Schizosaccharomyces pombe: one gene and its partner. The protein of the gene in region 2 binds, or shares a complex with, the protein of the main gene of each other region. Each region holds a gene or a part of one and is shown on either strand. Other genes may lie near its edges.

Evidence for each region. Proteins that work in one complex are often made in the same cells at the same time.
Region 1: mrp21 (region 2) and SPOM_SPBC16A3.14 share a complex: the UniProt entries of both Schizosaccharomyces pombe proteins name them as parts of the mitochondrial small ribosomal subunit.

Annotation. Positions count from the first base shown.
Region 1 is NC_003423.3:4,268,699-4,273,932, reverse strand, and holds SPOM_SPBC16A3.14 (mitochondrial ribosomal protein subunit S26), read left to right. Parts: upstream 1-1,900; 5' UTR 1,901-1,995; coding exon 1,996-2,802; 3' UTR 2,803-2,942; downstream 2,943-5,234. Other genes in the region: meu7 (alpha-amylase 4), read left to right, coding at 1-1,592; nda2 (tubulin alpha 1), read right to left, coding at 3,485-4,797, 4,888-4,942. UniProt on the Schizosaccharomyces pombe protein: Component of the mitochondrial ribosome (mitoribosome), a dedicated translation machinery responsible for the synthesis of mitochondrial genome-encoded proteins, including at least some of the essential transmembrane subunits of the mitochondrial respiratory chain.
Region 2 is NC_003423.3:614,527-621,495, reverse strand, and holds mrp21 (mitochondrial 37S ribosomal protein bS21m), read left to right. Parts: upstream 1-3,322; 5' UTR 3,323-3,357; coding exon 3,358-3,433; intron 3,434-3,527; coding exon 3,528-3,817; 3' UTR 3,818-4,305; downstream 4,306-6,969. Other genes in the region: ER uridine diphosphate-glucose transmembrane transporter Hut1, read left to right, coding at 1-861; U1 snRNP-associated protein Usp107, read right to left, coding at 957-1,187, 1,237-3,074, 3,124-3,142; its8 (pig-N family GPI synthesis protein), read left to right, coding at 5,030-5,180, 5,333-6,969. UniProt on the Schizosaccharomyces pombe protein: Component of the mitochondrial ribosome (mitoribosome), a dedicated translation machinery responsible for the synthesis of mitochondrial genome-encoded proteins, including at least some of the essential transmembrane subunits of the mitochondrial respiratory chain.

The DNA of each region.
Region 1 (5,234 bases), 3.7 Mb from region 2:
CCAAGCCTGACCATAAACCCTGGAAGCACGAGGAACACTGCTCATGCCATCATGATAAGTTCCCTCGTCCAGTTCCTCATAATGGAACCAAGCCTGATCATAAACCCTGGAAGCACGAGGAACACTGCCATCACGGTAAGTTTCCCCGTCCAATTCCTCACAATGGAACCAAGCCTGACCATAAACCCTGGAAGCACGAGGAACACTGCCATCACGGTAGGTTCCCTCGTCCAGTTCCCCACAATGGAACCAAGCCCGATCACAAGCCATGGAAGCACGAGGAACACTGCTCATGCCATCATGATAAGTTCTCTCGCCCAGTTCCTCATAATGGAACCAAGCCTGACCACAAACCTTGGAAGCACGAGGAACACTGCCACCATGGTAAGTTCCTTCGTCCAGTTCCTCACAATGTAACCAAGCCTGACCATAAACCCTGGAAGCACGAGGAACACTGCCATCACGGTAAGTTCCCTCGTCCAGTTCCCCACAATGGAACCAAGCCCGATCACAAGCCTTGGAAGCACGAGGAACACTGCTCTTGCCATGAAGACCATTCAGTTCATGAGCGTCCTAGTGCTAAAGGGGCTCTCGAGGACTATATTCAAACATTTGTAGAAACTTTCCAAATTGATGGTATTCGTTTCGATGCTATGGGTGACAAATATAGAAAGTACTGGCCAGATTTTTGCAAAGCTGCTGGAGTGTTTTGCATGGGTGACTTGAAATCTTCCGACTCTTTAAAAGTTTGTGATTGGCAAAACGACTTGGAAGGGTTGAGTAACTTCCCTGTTAGAGAATCTGCTGTAAAAGCATTTTTGATGAATAATCCAGAGGGAATTGTTGATCTTGCCGACAAAATGACTGACATGCGCGGTTTGTGTGTCAATCCCCTATTGTTAGGAAACTTCGTTGAGAACAAAGACCTTCCTAGAATGGCTTCAATTTCTAGTGATCCAGCCACCTTAAAGAATGCAATTGCTTTTGTTCTTATGGGAGATGGTATTCCTATGATGTACAACGGCCAAGAACTTGCCATGCGCGGTGAAGAGGTTCCTTATAATCGACCTGCAATTTGGGAGAAAGGTTTCCCAAAAAGAAATCCTTACTATAAGTTCACGTCTACAATCAATCGTTTCCGCAAAGCTATGATTGAAAGCAAAGACGGAGAAGCTTTCTTAAATATGCAGTCGGATATTAGCATCGTTGATAAAAGAATATTGCTTTTACGACGTGGCAAAGTAATAACCGTACTCAACAACTTAGGTTCATATTACATTCATTTCCATTATACTGTTTCGGCAGAAGAGCACAAGTGGATGGACGTATTATCTTGCAAGTCCGTTCCAGTACAAGATAATCGACAGGTATTTATGGTACGCAACGGTGAACCCATGATCTTGTACCCAGAGGAATCGGCTTATGAGATGGGATTGTGCCCATCTCCAATTCAGCTTACTGAAGATTATAACAGTGAAGGTTCTCTCTCCATTAACGTTGAAGAAGCCCAAACATCAAAGGCACCAGAGCAAAATCGAGGATTTACCAATGTCCTCGCCGCTCTTTTATTATCTTTGTTAATGATTTTGTAGGTATACGTTCCTTGAAATCTAATAATATACAGATTTTTTATTTTACATAAACCTTTTTCATATAAAGTATGATGACTTAGTTTACAGACCCATAGGGCTCTGTACTGAAGTTCATGAACGATAAGTCACCTCAATATAAATAATAGACGGGTAAATCCATTTTAATTTTTGGCTTTAAATTACAAAGTACTCAAGTAAAGCTTTAGCCAAAAAAATTTAAACTCCCATAATGATATCCGACGCAAACCGTCCAAACGTATTCATAATTGCGGTGGTGTGGCTAACTTGTATTTGACACAAGGCGAGCTGCGATACCCAAACACGTCCAGTTCCCTTAAATACTTCGTTGTTGGTTTATATAGGTATTTCAGCAAGTTATACCTAATATTCAGATAATTTGCTTATGCTCAACACAGGTCTACGAAAAGGGCTTGCGCTTTCACCGATAACTCACCTTCTGAAACGATGTAGTTCAGTTACAGACAATGTGCATCGAGTAAACTATTGCTACAATTACCACACAGTTCCTAATCTTTCACAAAGAAATTTGCTACCACTTTTCAGTCCTGAAGCTCTTGACATTGCCTGGGACCAGCATCAACGTCAAGTAGTAAAAGAATTAAATGATCGAGTGAAGGGAACAGAACTTGAGGATTCATCTGTGTTTAACATTATCTTTCAAACAGCCGCTTTGCCTGAGCATGCAGCCACATTCCAGTTTGCAAGTCAAGCTTACAACAATCATTTCTTTTTTCAAAGCTTGATCGGAAAAAGAGCTGCAGATGCCAAAAAAAACTCAAAATATGAAGCTAATGCCGCTATCAATAAAGCAGTCAATGAAAACTTTGGTTCTAAAGAAAATTTACTTTCTAAAATTCATGAGCTTGCCTCAAATAGTTTTGGAGCATGTTGGCTTTGGATTGTAATTGATGATTATAATAGATTAAACTTACTGAGAACTTTTCAAGCAGGTTCTCCGTATCTTTGGACTAGATGGCAATCAAATGATCCCCATCTTATTTCTAGTGTGCCAGATTATAGTGCCAGACCTCGAAAATATGCGCATGTTCCCATTTTAAACCTTTGTTTATGGAATCATGCATATTATAAAGATTACGGTCTTTTAAATCGCTCAAGATACATCGACACATGGTTTGATTGCATAGATTGGTCTGTCATTGAGGAAAGATTGACTAATTCTTTGGTATGAAAGAAAGGTGCAATCAATTTAGATAATTATATCTCATCACAATCTTGTTATGATTTTAAAAAAACGCCTTTTTCTACTTTCACCTTATAAATTTCATTCTAATTTTAATAAAAATTGTGTTTTCTCTACTCGTCCTTGAAACTTCTACAGTAGACTGTTTTGGCTCATGCTCGTATTCTAAATGATTTTAGGCTAATTCCGAGCAATCGAGTCATATAAGTTAAGTAATTTATTAACCAATTAACCGATTTATTGCTTAGAGGTTGAGATTAAAAACATTTTTTTTGTAAAGCTAGAAAAGCGCCAATACACAATGTAATTTACAGTTTATAGTGTCTCTTTTTCATGCAAAATTAAAAAAAAAAGATACCACAGAAAGGAGAAATTGAAATTTTACTGGTGGTTTATTTGCAAAGATAGAGTGGATTAGATTGATATCTAAATGAGAATTGACTAGTAAAGAAAAAGAATGTTCAAGTTAAAAAATCAGTGAGATAAGTGGACGAGCAATTTATCTCCTTGCCGCTGGGTGAACATTTTAACTCTCAAAGAAAGACAGACACCCTTTAGTTATTTGACCACAGGGCTGAATAAACAAAGATTAAAGAGACAAGGGTAGATGCAAGATATCTTCAAGTTATAAAACGAATGAAATAACGTATAAAAGCGATTATTGGATAAATTAATACTCTTCGTCAGCTTCGTACATTTCGTTATCCATAGAATCTTGACCAACCTCTTCGTAATCCCTTTCTAAGGCAGCCAAATCTTCTCTGGCTTCTGAAAATTCACCTTCTTCCATACCTTCACCGACATACCAATGAACAAAAGCACGCTTGCTGTACATAAGGTCAAACTTGTGGTCCAGACGAGACCAAGCTTCAGCAATCGAGGTGGTATTTGAAAGCATACAAACAGCACGATTTACCTTAGCGATTCCACTACCAGGAACGTGTTGGGGTGGCTCATAGCAAATACCGATTTTGAAACCAGTAGGGCACCAATCAACAAATTGGATGGTGCGACGAGATTTAATGCTAGTAACGGCAGCCTGGACATCACGTGGGATAACATCACCACGATACAAAAGACAAGTAGCCATATAGCGGCCAGTTCGTGGATCACATTTTACCATTTGATTATAAGGCTCAAAGCACTGATTCGTAATCTCTTGTACGCTGTTGGATTCATGGAATGCTTTAGCTGCACTGACAATAGGAGAATAAGTGACTAAAGGAAAGTGAATACGAGGGTATGGCACAAGATTAGTTTGAAACTCATTTAAGTCAACATTTAAGCTACCAGCAAATCGAAGAGAAGCGGTGATAGAAGAGACAACTTGAGCAATAAGGCGGTTGAGGTTTTCATAGGTTGGACGCTCAATGTCAAGATTTCGGCGACAGATATCGTAACAAGCCTCATTATCAACCATAAAGGTACAGTCAGAGTTATCGAGAGTAGCATGGGTAGTGAGCACAGAGTTGTAAGGTTCAACAACGGATGTGCTCACTTGAGGGGCGGGATAAACAGAAAATTGGAGGTTAGATTTCTTTCCGTATTCCATGTTCAAGCGCTCCAGAAGTAAAGCACCCAAACCCGAGCCGGTACCACCACCAAAAGAATGAAATACAAGGAAACCTTGGAGACCAGAACAATTGTCAGCCATACGACGTATCCTTTCTAATACACTATCAATCATTTCCTTTCCTACAGTATAATGTCCACGGGCGTAATTGTTAGAAGCATCTTCCTTACCAGTTACCATCTGTTCAGGATGAAACAGATCTTTATACGGTCCAGTACGAACTTGATCAATAACGTTAGGCTCAAGATCAACATAGATACTTCTAGGTACGAATTTTCCTTGCCCGGTTTCAGAAAAAAATGTACCGAATCCATCATTTAAATAGCTATTGTTTTTGTGAACTTCGGAGTTTTCTGTAGGAAAACCGTCGGGTCCTATGCCATGCTCCAAACAGTACAACTCCCAGCATGCTAGAAATGTTAGCTAAATTTTTTATGAAAAAATCGATTGCCAACTATTTAGAGTATACAGCAATACAAAAAGATGGATATTGAACATACCGTTACCGATTTGAACACCTGCTTGTCCAACATGAACAGAAATTACTTCTCTCATAATTTGTGATAATAACGAATGTAAATGCAACTAAACGCGCTACACAAGACGTTTTGGTTGCAAACTTAGGTTGTTTGTCAAGGGAGAGCGTAGGTACTCCAAGTCATGAGTAGGAAATAACGAAAAACGAATGAACTCGTAAAGCACTAAGGAGGGAAGTTTATGCAATGAGGTTCCAAAACTCATACCATGCAAATAACATAATGTTTTATAAAGAAGTAATATAAGTAGTATTCATTAATATTCTTGCAATGATCAATTTTCGAATTTTTCTGTACTGTACGGATTGAAG
Region 2 (6,969 bases):
GAAAGGTTTTCTTCTCCTGCATTACTTAGCTTAGCACAGTCCTTCATGACAGTCCTTTGTGGGTTGCTTTGGAACTGGTTTCATGGTGTTTCTGCTAGAGGCTTGCTAGAGCCTAAGTTTTTAGGATACTTTTCTAGTATTGCCATATCGGCTAGCTTAAGTTCTTACTTTGGATATGCAAGCATGTTTCATTTGTCTTATCCTACTGTTATTCTGGGAAAATCATGCAAGTTACTTCCAGTTATTGCTTTACATGTGTTCGTTTACAAACGAAAGTTTCCTCCTCACAAATACCTGATTGTTACAATGATTACAGCAGGTGTAAGTATCTTTAGTTATTTTCAAAACACTTCTTCCAAAGGTAAACATGCTGAGCATGATAGTCCTATTGGCTTACTGCTTTTATTTTTTAATTTGCTCATGGACGGAATTACTAATACTACTCAAGACAAGGTTTTTGGTAAATACAAATTATCAAGCGTTACCATGATGATTGCGGTCAACTTGGGTATCGCATGTTTAAATGGCCTGTATTTAATCTCTCCTTTTTGCAACCAGCAGCCTTTGTCTTTTATAAACAGACATCCAAGCATCCTTAAAGACATGTTGTTGTTTGCTTGCACAGGTTCTGTCGGTCAATTATTCATTTTCTTCACCCTTGAAAAATTTGGAAGCATAACGCTCGTTACCATTACACTTACAAGAAAAATTTTCACCATGCTTCTTAGTGTTTTTCATTTTCATCACACTGTATCTTCGATTCAGTGGCTTGGTATTTTATTGGTCTTTTTGGGAATCTCCCTAGAAGCCGGCCTCAAAATACTAAACAACAATTCTACTGCGAAAAAAAAGGCATCATAGGTTTGCCTTTATTTTTTTAAAAAAATTTCTTATAAATACATATTACAAACTTTTAATCGTCACCATTAAATAAAAACTTTACCCAAATATGTACGTTATGCTTCAGAACGTAAAATCAGTAGTACATGCAAGTATCGGTATACTTTGCTAACAAACTCTGGAGCATCTTCAGCGAGAGCAAGGTCCAATTCAGACACTAACTGTTCCGCACCTTTATGTTGCCTGATATGATCAATGGTAAATGTGATAAGTGAATCCTCTTGAATACCGATATACTCGATAATTTTCTTGGTAACAAAAGCTTGCATTTCTTCTTTTAGAAGATCCTATAATGTGTTAGTTTAGATACATATAAAAGTTGAAAAAATCACAAACCTCAGTAACCTTGCTCCAGTCAATTGGTAGTGCCCACAGACTTTCTGCTTCAACAGGTATCTTTTCAATAAGTGAACGAAGTCTTTTCGTCTTCTCGGCATCATTTTCTTCCATAGCAGGCTTTGGTTTTTGAGGGTTGGGAGAATAGCCTTGCGGTTCTTCGTCTTCTTCTTCCAAAAGCAGTCTCTCCGGAAGTCCAAATTCTCGTCTTTCAGAAGGAACAGCTGGTTTCTTGGTTTGTATTTTGATTTTGAAGGGACCATTTTCATGTTGAGGCATTTCACTAGTCACCAGCTTACCATTTTCGACATAATTCTCTGTCTCAACGGTTGCACCTTCTCCACGGGTACGTAGTTCTCTTTCTTCCTCCTTTCTGTCAAGAGCATCTGCGTCTTCTTCTCGAGCACGAGCAACTGCACGATGTCTAATCCAAGCAGCACGATCGACAAAATATTCGTCTCGAGATACGCGAGCTTCCTCATCGTCATCAAAAGAAGCTAATTTTTCCGAAAGATAAGTACCAAAGGAAGTGTTATTAACACGTTCTTCTTCTTCACGAGCAGCTTCTCGTTCTAAAGCTGCAGTTCGGGCCTTTTCACGATTCATCCAGCGCCGTTCCCTTGCGTAATACTCTTCAGCCTCCAATTGATCCTTCCTTCTCTTCTCTTCATAATAAGCTTGTTCATCGGAGAACGACTCGGGAATGCTATCTTCTGCTCTTAAAAAGGCATTGACTGTAGACATAGGGATACGTGAAATACGATGTTTTGACAAAAGGTTTTGTAAATCATCATTTTGCTTTCGAAGCTTTTCTTGTTCTTTTCGTGTATACTCTTTATATAAACTGGCATACTCGTCCTTAGACCTTTGTTTTTCTCGTTTTTTCATAGCAGATTGATCGCGAAAGGATCGTATTTCTTCTTCAATAACCGGTAATAATTCAGGATTAATTCCTTCTAAATCAGCAGCATTAATGGGAATTTCCGAAGTTTTGACATTTTGTAGTAATTTTTCGTTTTTCTCTCGGGCCTGTCGAGCTGCCCTTTCAATGCGAGAACGGACATCAAAATTGCCTATATCTTGACAAATTCTTTCGAGGTTAAAGCGAATTTGCTGTAAAATGTTTATCTCTTTCTGCTTATTTCTTGCATAACGACTCGTTTGCCATTCACGATACAATCCCTCATTCTCAACATCTGTAATCAATGACAAGCGAGTTGAAGGACCACCTTCGTACAAAGGTGGAACAACAAAATCATTTAATGCTTCTAATGCTCTACTGAATTGTTCATTTGATTCAAACTCTGCAAATCCAAACGAAGTCATCGAGTTATCTGCATCAGCAACCCTTCGCCAAGAAGCCAGCTTCCCGGACAATCGAAGAATTTTATCCATCCAAAAATCATCCAATTCTTTCGGTATATTACCAATAAAGAGCATCCGCCGCATTTGTTGACTATTTGGAGGGACAAACGGCCGCGATTCCCTTTCTGTTGTAGACTTCTCTGAAGAAGGTGTTTGAAACGTCTGTTTCTCCTGAATCTCATTACTTTTTTGATTTCGGGGTAAGTTTTTTCTATCTTTTTGTTGCGATTCATTATCTCTTAAAACTTGTTTTATGGGAAGTTTACCAAACTTCAGAATTGGCTGCGAAAAATCATAGGGACTACTTGCCTCAACAGGATTATCTACCAAAAAAGCGCCTTGGCCATACAATTTTTTGTATAAGCTCCTGTAATCAGGAGGTAAAGGGGCGAATACAGGTTGGATTGGGACGACATATGGAACGCCGTTGCCAACCATAGGAACCTGTGGCATCATTGGCATACCGGCAGCCTCTAAATAAAATTAGATAAATTCTTTAGCAATGAAATTGAAATTACTTACGCGTATTCTGCCGCTGCATAGTTGTTGGAGGAAAACAGATTCATGTGTATCATGTAAAGGTATATAGTGAAGTGTAAATGTGATTATCCTATTTTTAGTTTATGAATTTTATGTCTTTTACGCTAATGCAAAAAATCGATGTTCAAGGCAATTTAACGAATTCTTTATGCAGTTGTACTGCGGTGAGATTCAGGCTTCTCAAATTGCCAAGAAAACGCAAAATAACTATTTAAAATGAACAGTTCTTATTTCCCAGGTGTTCTAGGGGTCAGATGGGTACATACAAATAGGAAATTGCAAAAGAGAAAAGGTACGAAGAAAATCCATTGAAGTTGCTATTGTCTTTCAAGAATATGATTTTCGATTGTTGGATTATTGTCTGCTAATACTTTATTGATATTTAGAGGAGCATGGTGCGTTCCAAGATTCGCTTCATTTTATGATACCCGCAGCAGAAACAAAAGATTTAGGTGCAAGTGTGACAGTTGGAAATAGTCTAACAAGAGCATTTCGACAAGTTGATAGAATATGTCAAAGGAATAATGTGCCAAGGCTATTCCGTTCACAGAGATTTTATGAAAAACCATCCGAAAAGCGATCCCGCGTTCGTTCAGAAAGACACAGGGCAAGGTTCCGCGCTGGAATTGTTCGACTTGTAAACTTAGCAAAGAACATGCGTCGTTGGGGTTATTGAGTGATTCTTCGAACATTTCATTCTATTTCTTGGTTACGAAAATCCATATTAAATTAATGTATTTGGAGATCGTTGTTCTCATAGCTTTTCATTTAAGACGAGAATGCTCGAAAACCCCCTTTTGAAGTAAAATAATATATTGCTTTTTACTTCTCCGCGGATTTAAGAGCTAGACATTTTTGGGAAATATTCGTTTTTTGTTTTGTCATTTCTAAATTTTTCCTGGTATCTTTGCTTAACCCCTCCCCTATCTTATGATTTTCTACTTAACAGGATTTATTGTCTAATAACTGTCTCTACCTTCTTTTATCTTTTCAGTTTGACAATACTGCGAGATTGAGCTTAATGTTTGCATTACCCTCTAATATTACTATTCTGTTTTGCTAGCCTATAACAATTTTCTTAGTTAAATCGATGAGTTTGTTACTCTATTTATTCAAACTAATGCTGGTCGCAGGAAGTTATTACTTCTGCATGTTATAATAAATGAATTCGTTTCCTTTCGTATTGCAAATGATTTTTTTATTATTGGCCATGTAGCAGCAATTTGATGGTTGTATCCCTTTATCTTATTATAATCGTCATGAGTAAACCGACTCTCAACGTGTAACAACCAAATATGCTTACCGCTGAATTTTCATTAATCTTGGATTTGAGCAATGAAATGATAACCATCCATTTTACATTTCTGTCAACGGAAATTAAAATAATACCGAAAATATCCATTTACAGAATCATTTTTTGCTTAATTACCAGATGACTATAAGTCCCATTATTGTGCACTGCATACCATAAAGTAATTTATCACTTCCTTAATAGATTTCTGATTATTTACTCTTTCATCCAGCTAGAACTAATTACGCATATTGGCCATAGCTCACAATATACGATGGAGCGCTACCACTATTCATTAGTGCATTCAAACACGGCATCCTTAATTACAAAACTCAGTATACATTCATTAGCGTTCGCTTATTCATTAGATCGAGCGTAGATCATCTGAATTTTAACCAATGGTAGATTAAAGGGGACTTCTGTTGATGTTTGTAACGACTCAACACTCAAACGCACTTCACCAGAACAAAACACTTCTTGCCTTGTTTAGGGCATCCTTCTTTTCCAAGAAGCGTCCTGGCATCTATCCAATTTTTGCCAAAAACCCCTAGTATTCCCAGTCAATTGTGGTAGTGGTTTCACGCTTAAATTTTCGCAATGTTTGGTCGCCTCTTGCTGTTAGGGATTTTATTCCATGTCGTCTTTCTCAAATCCATTTTTGATATCTATTTCGTAACTCCTCTAATACATGGCATGAAGCAGTATTCTGCAGGCGAAGCTCCTGCTAAACGCCTATTTCTAATTGTTGGTAAGTAAACATTTGTAATAGTGAAATTAGTGTATAGAGCTTAATGAAAAAAATGTCATATTTTCGTTTTGGATTTAGAAAAAAAAACAAGAAATAGTACAACTTTTTTCTTGTCCTTCTTTTTCTTATTTTACTAACCAATATGCTTATAGGCGATGGACTACGTCCTGATAAACTATTACAACCACATTCCGAAAAGGTCATTGGAGAAGAGCAGACATATGCCGCTCCATTTTTAAGATCAATTATTCAGAATAACGGTACTTTCGGTGTTTCTCATACTCGTGTTCCCACCGAGTCACGCCCCGGACATGTTGCTCTAATAGCTGGTTTTTACGAAGATGTTTCAGCCGTCACAAAAGGCTGGAAAAAAAATCCAGTAAATTTCGATTCTGTGTTTAATCAGAGTCGGCATACTTATTCGTTTGGATCCGAAGATATTTTGCCTATGTTTAGTGAAGGTGCATCTGATCCATCTCGAGTTGATACATTCATGTATTCTTCTGAATTGGAGGATTTCTCTAGCAACGGAATTGTTCTTGACGAATGGGTTTTTGATAGGCTAGATGAACTTCTCGCTCAGTCTTTAGAGGATAAGGAACTTTGGGATATGTTGCATCGGGATAAAATAGTATTCTTCCTTCATTTACTGGGCATTGACACAATTGGCCATAATAAACACCCTGACTCAGTTGAATATGTCGAAAACATACAGTATATAGATGGAAAAATTCAAGAACTCGTTGATAAGATGAACAACTACTACAATAACGACGGAGCCTCTAGCTGGGTTTTTACAGCAGACCATGGTATGAGTGACTTTGGAAGTCATGGTGATGGCAACCTTGATAATACACGTACTCCCATCATTGCCTGGGGTGCTGGTATTCAAAGTCCTACTCATGAGAAGAATTATGGGCATGACGAGTATTCTTTGCCATGGAATTTGACGGAGATAAAACGTATTGATATACAACAAGCAGATATTGCAGCTTTAATGTCTTACCTTGTCGGTTTAAATTTTCCTGTGAATTCCGTGGGTCAAATACCCTTGGATTATCTTGATTGCTCTTCTCGCCGCAAAGCTGAGGTTGCCTTAATGAATGCTTTAGAAATTGGTGAACAATATAATTTAAAGTCTGCCTCAAAGGATCAAACTAGTATTTTCTTTCGCCCATATTCTCCTTTGAGGAACTATACAGAGGTACAAGCATCCTTTTACAACTCAGTTATTGCTGACATAGAATCTGGTGAATATGAAATTGCTATTGAGCATTGTTTCCACTTTAGCCAAACGGTTCTTTCTGGACTACGTTACCTACAACGTTACGATTGGCTTCTTCTTCGATCTATTGTTTTCTTTGGTTATTTGAGTTGGATTGGATATGTCATATGCTTTGTCTTCAGCTTAAACATAGAACCATCCTCCAAAATAGTAAAGCCTGTTTCCGTCGTCAAGAGAGTCGCATTTAATATTCCTTTTTTGTTAATTTGCATCTTTTTTTATATCCAGTCTAGTCCACCATTTTATTATGGGTATGCTCTTTTCCCAACCATATTTCTGCAACTCATTCATTCAATTTTCCCAAATACCAAACTTGGTTTCAAAAATTTTTTAACAGTTGCAAAGCAAAAGCATGGGTTTTCTCTATTAAAAATTTTGTTTATTTCGTTGTGTATTCTCTGTCTGTTACAATTTATCGTTTACAGTTATTTTCACCGCGAAGGATTTTCCGTAATTTTAATGGGATTGGCCGCATGGCCATGGCTCCTTCATGCGGATTATGCT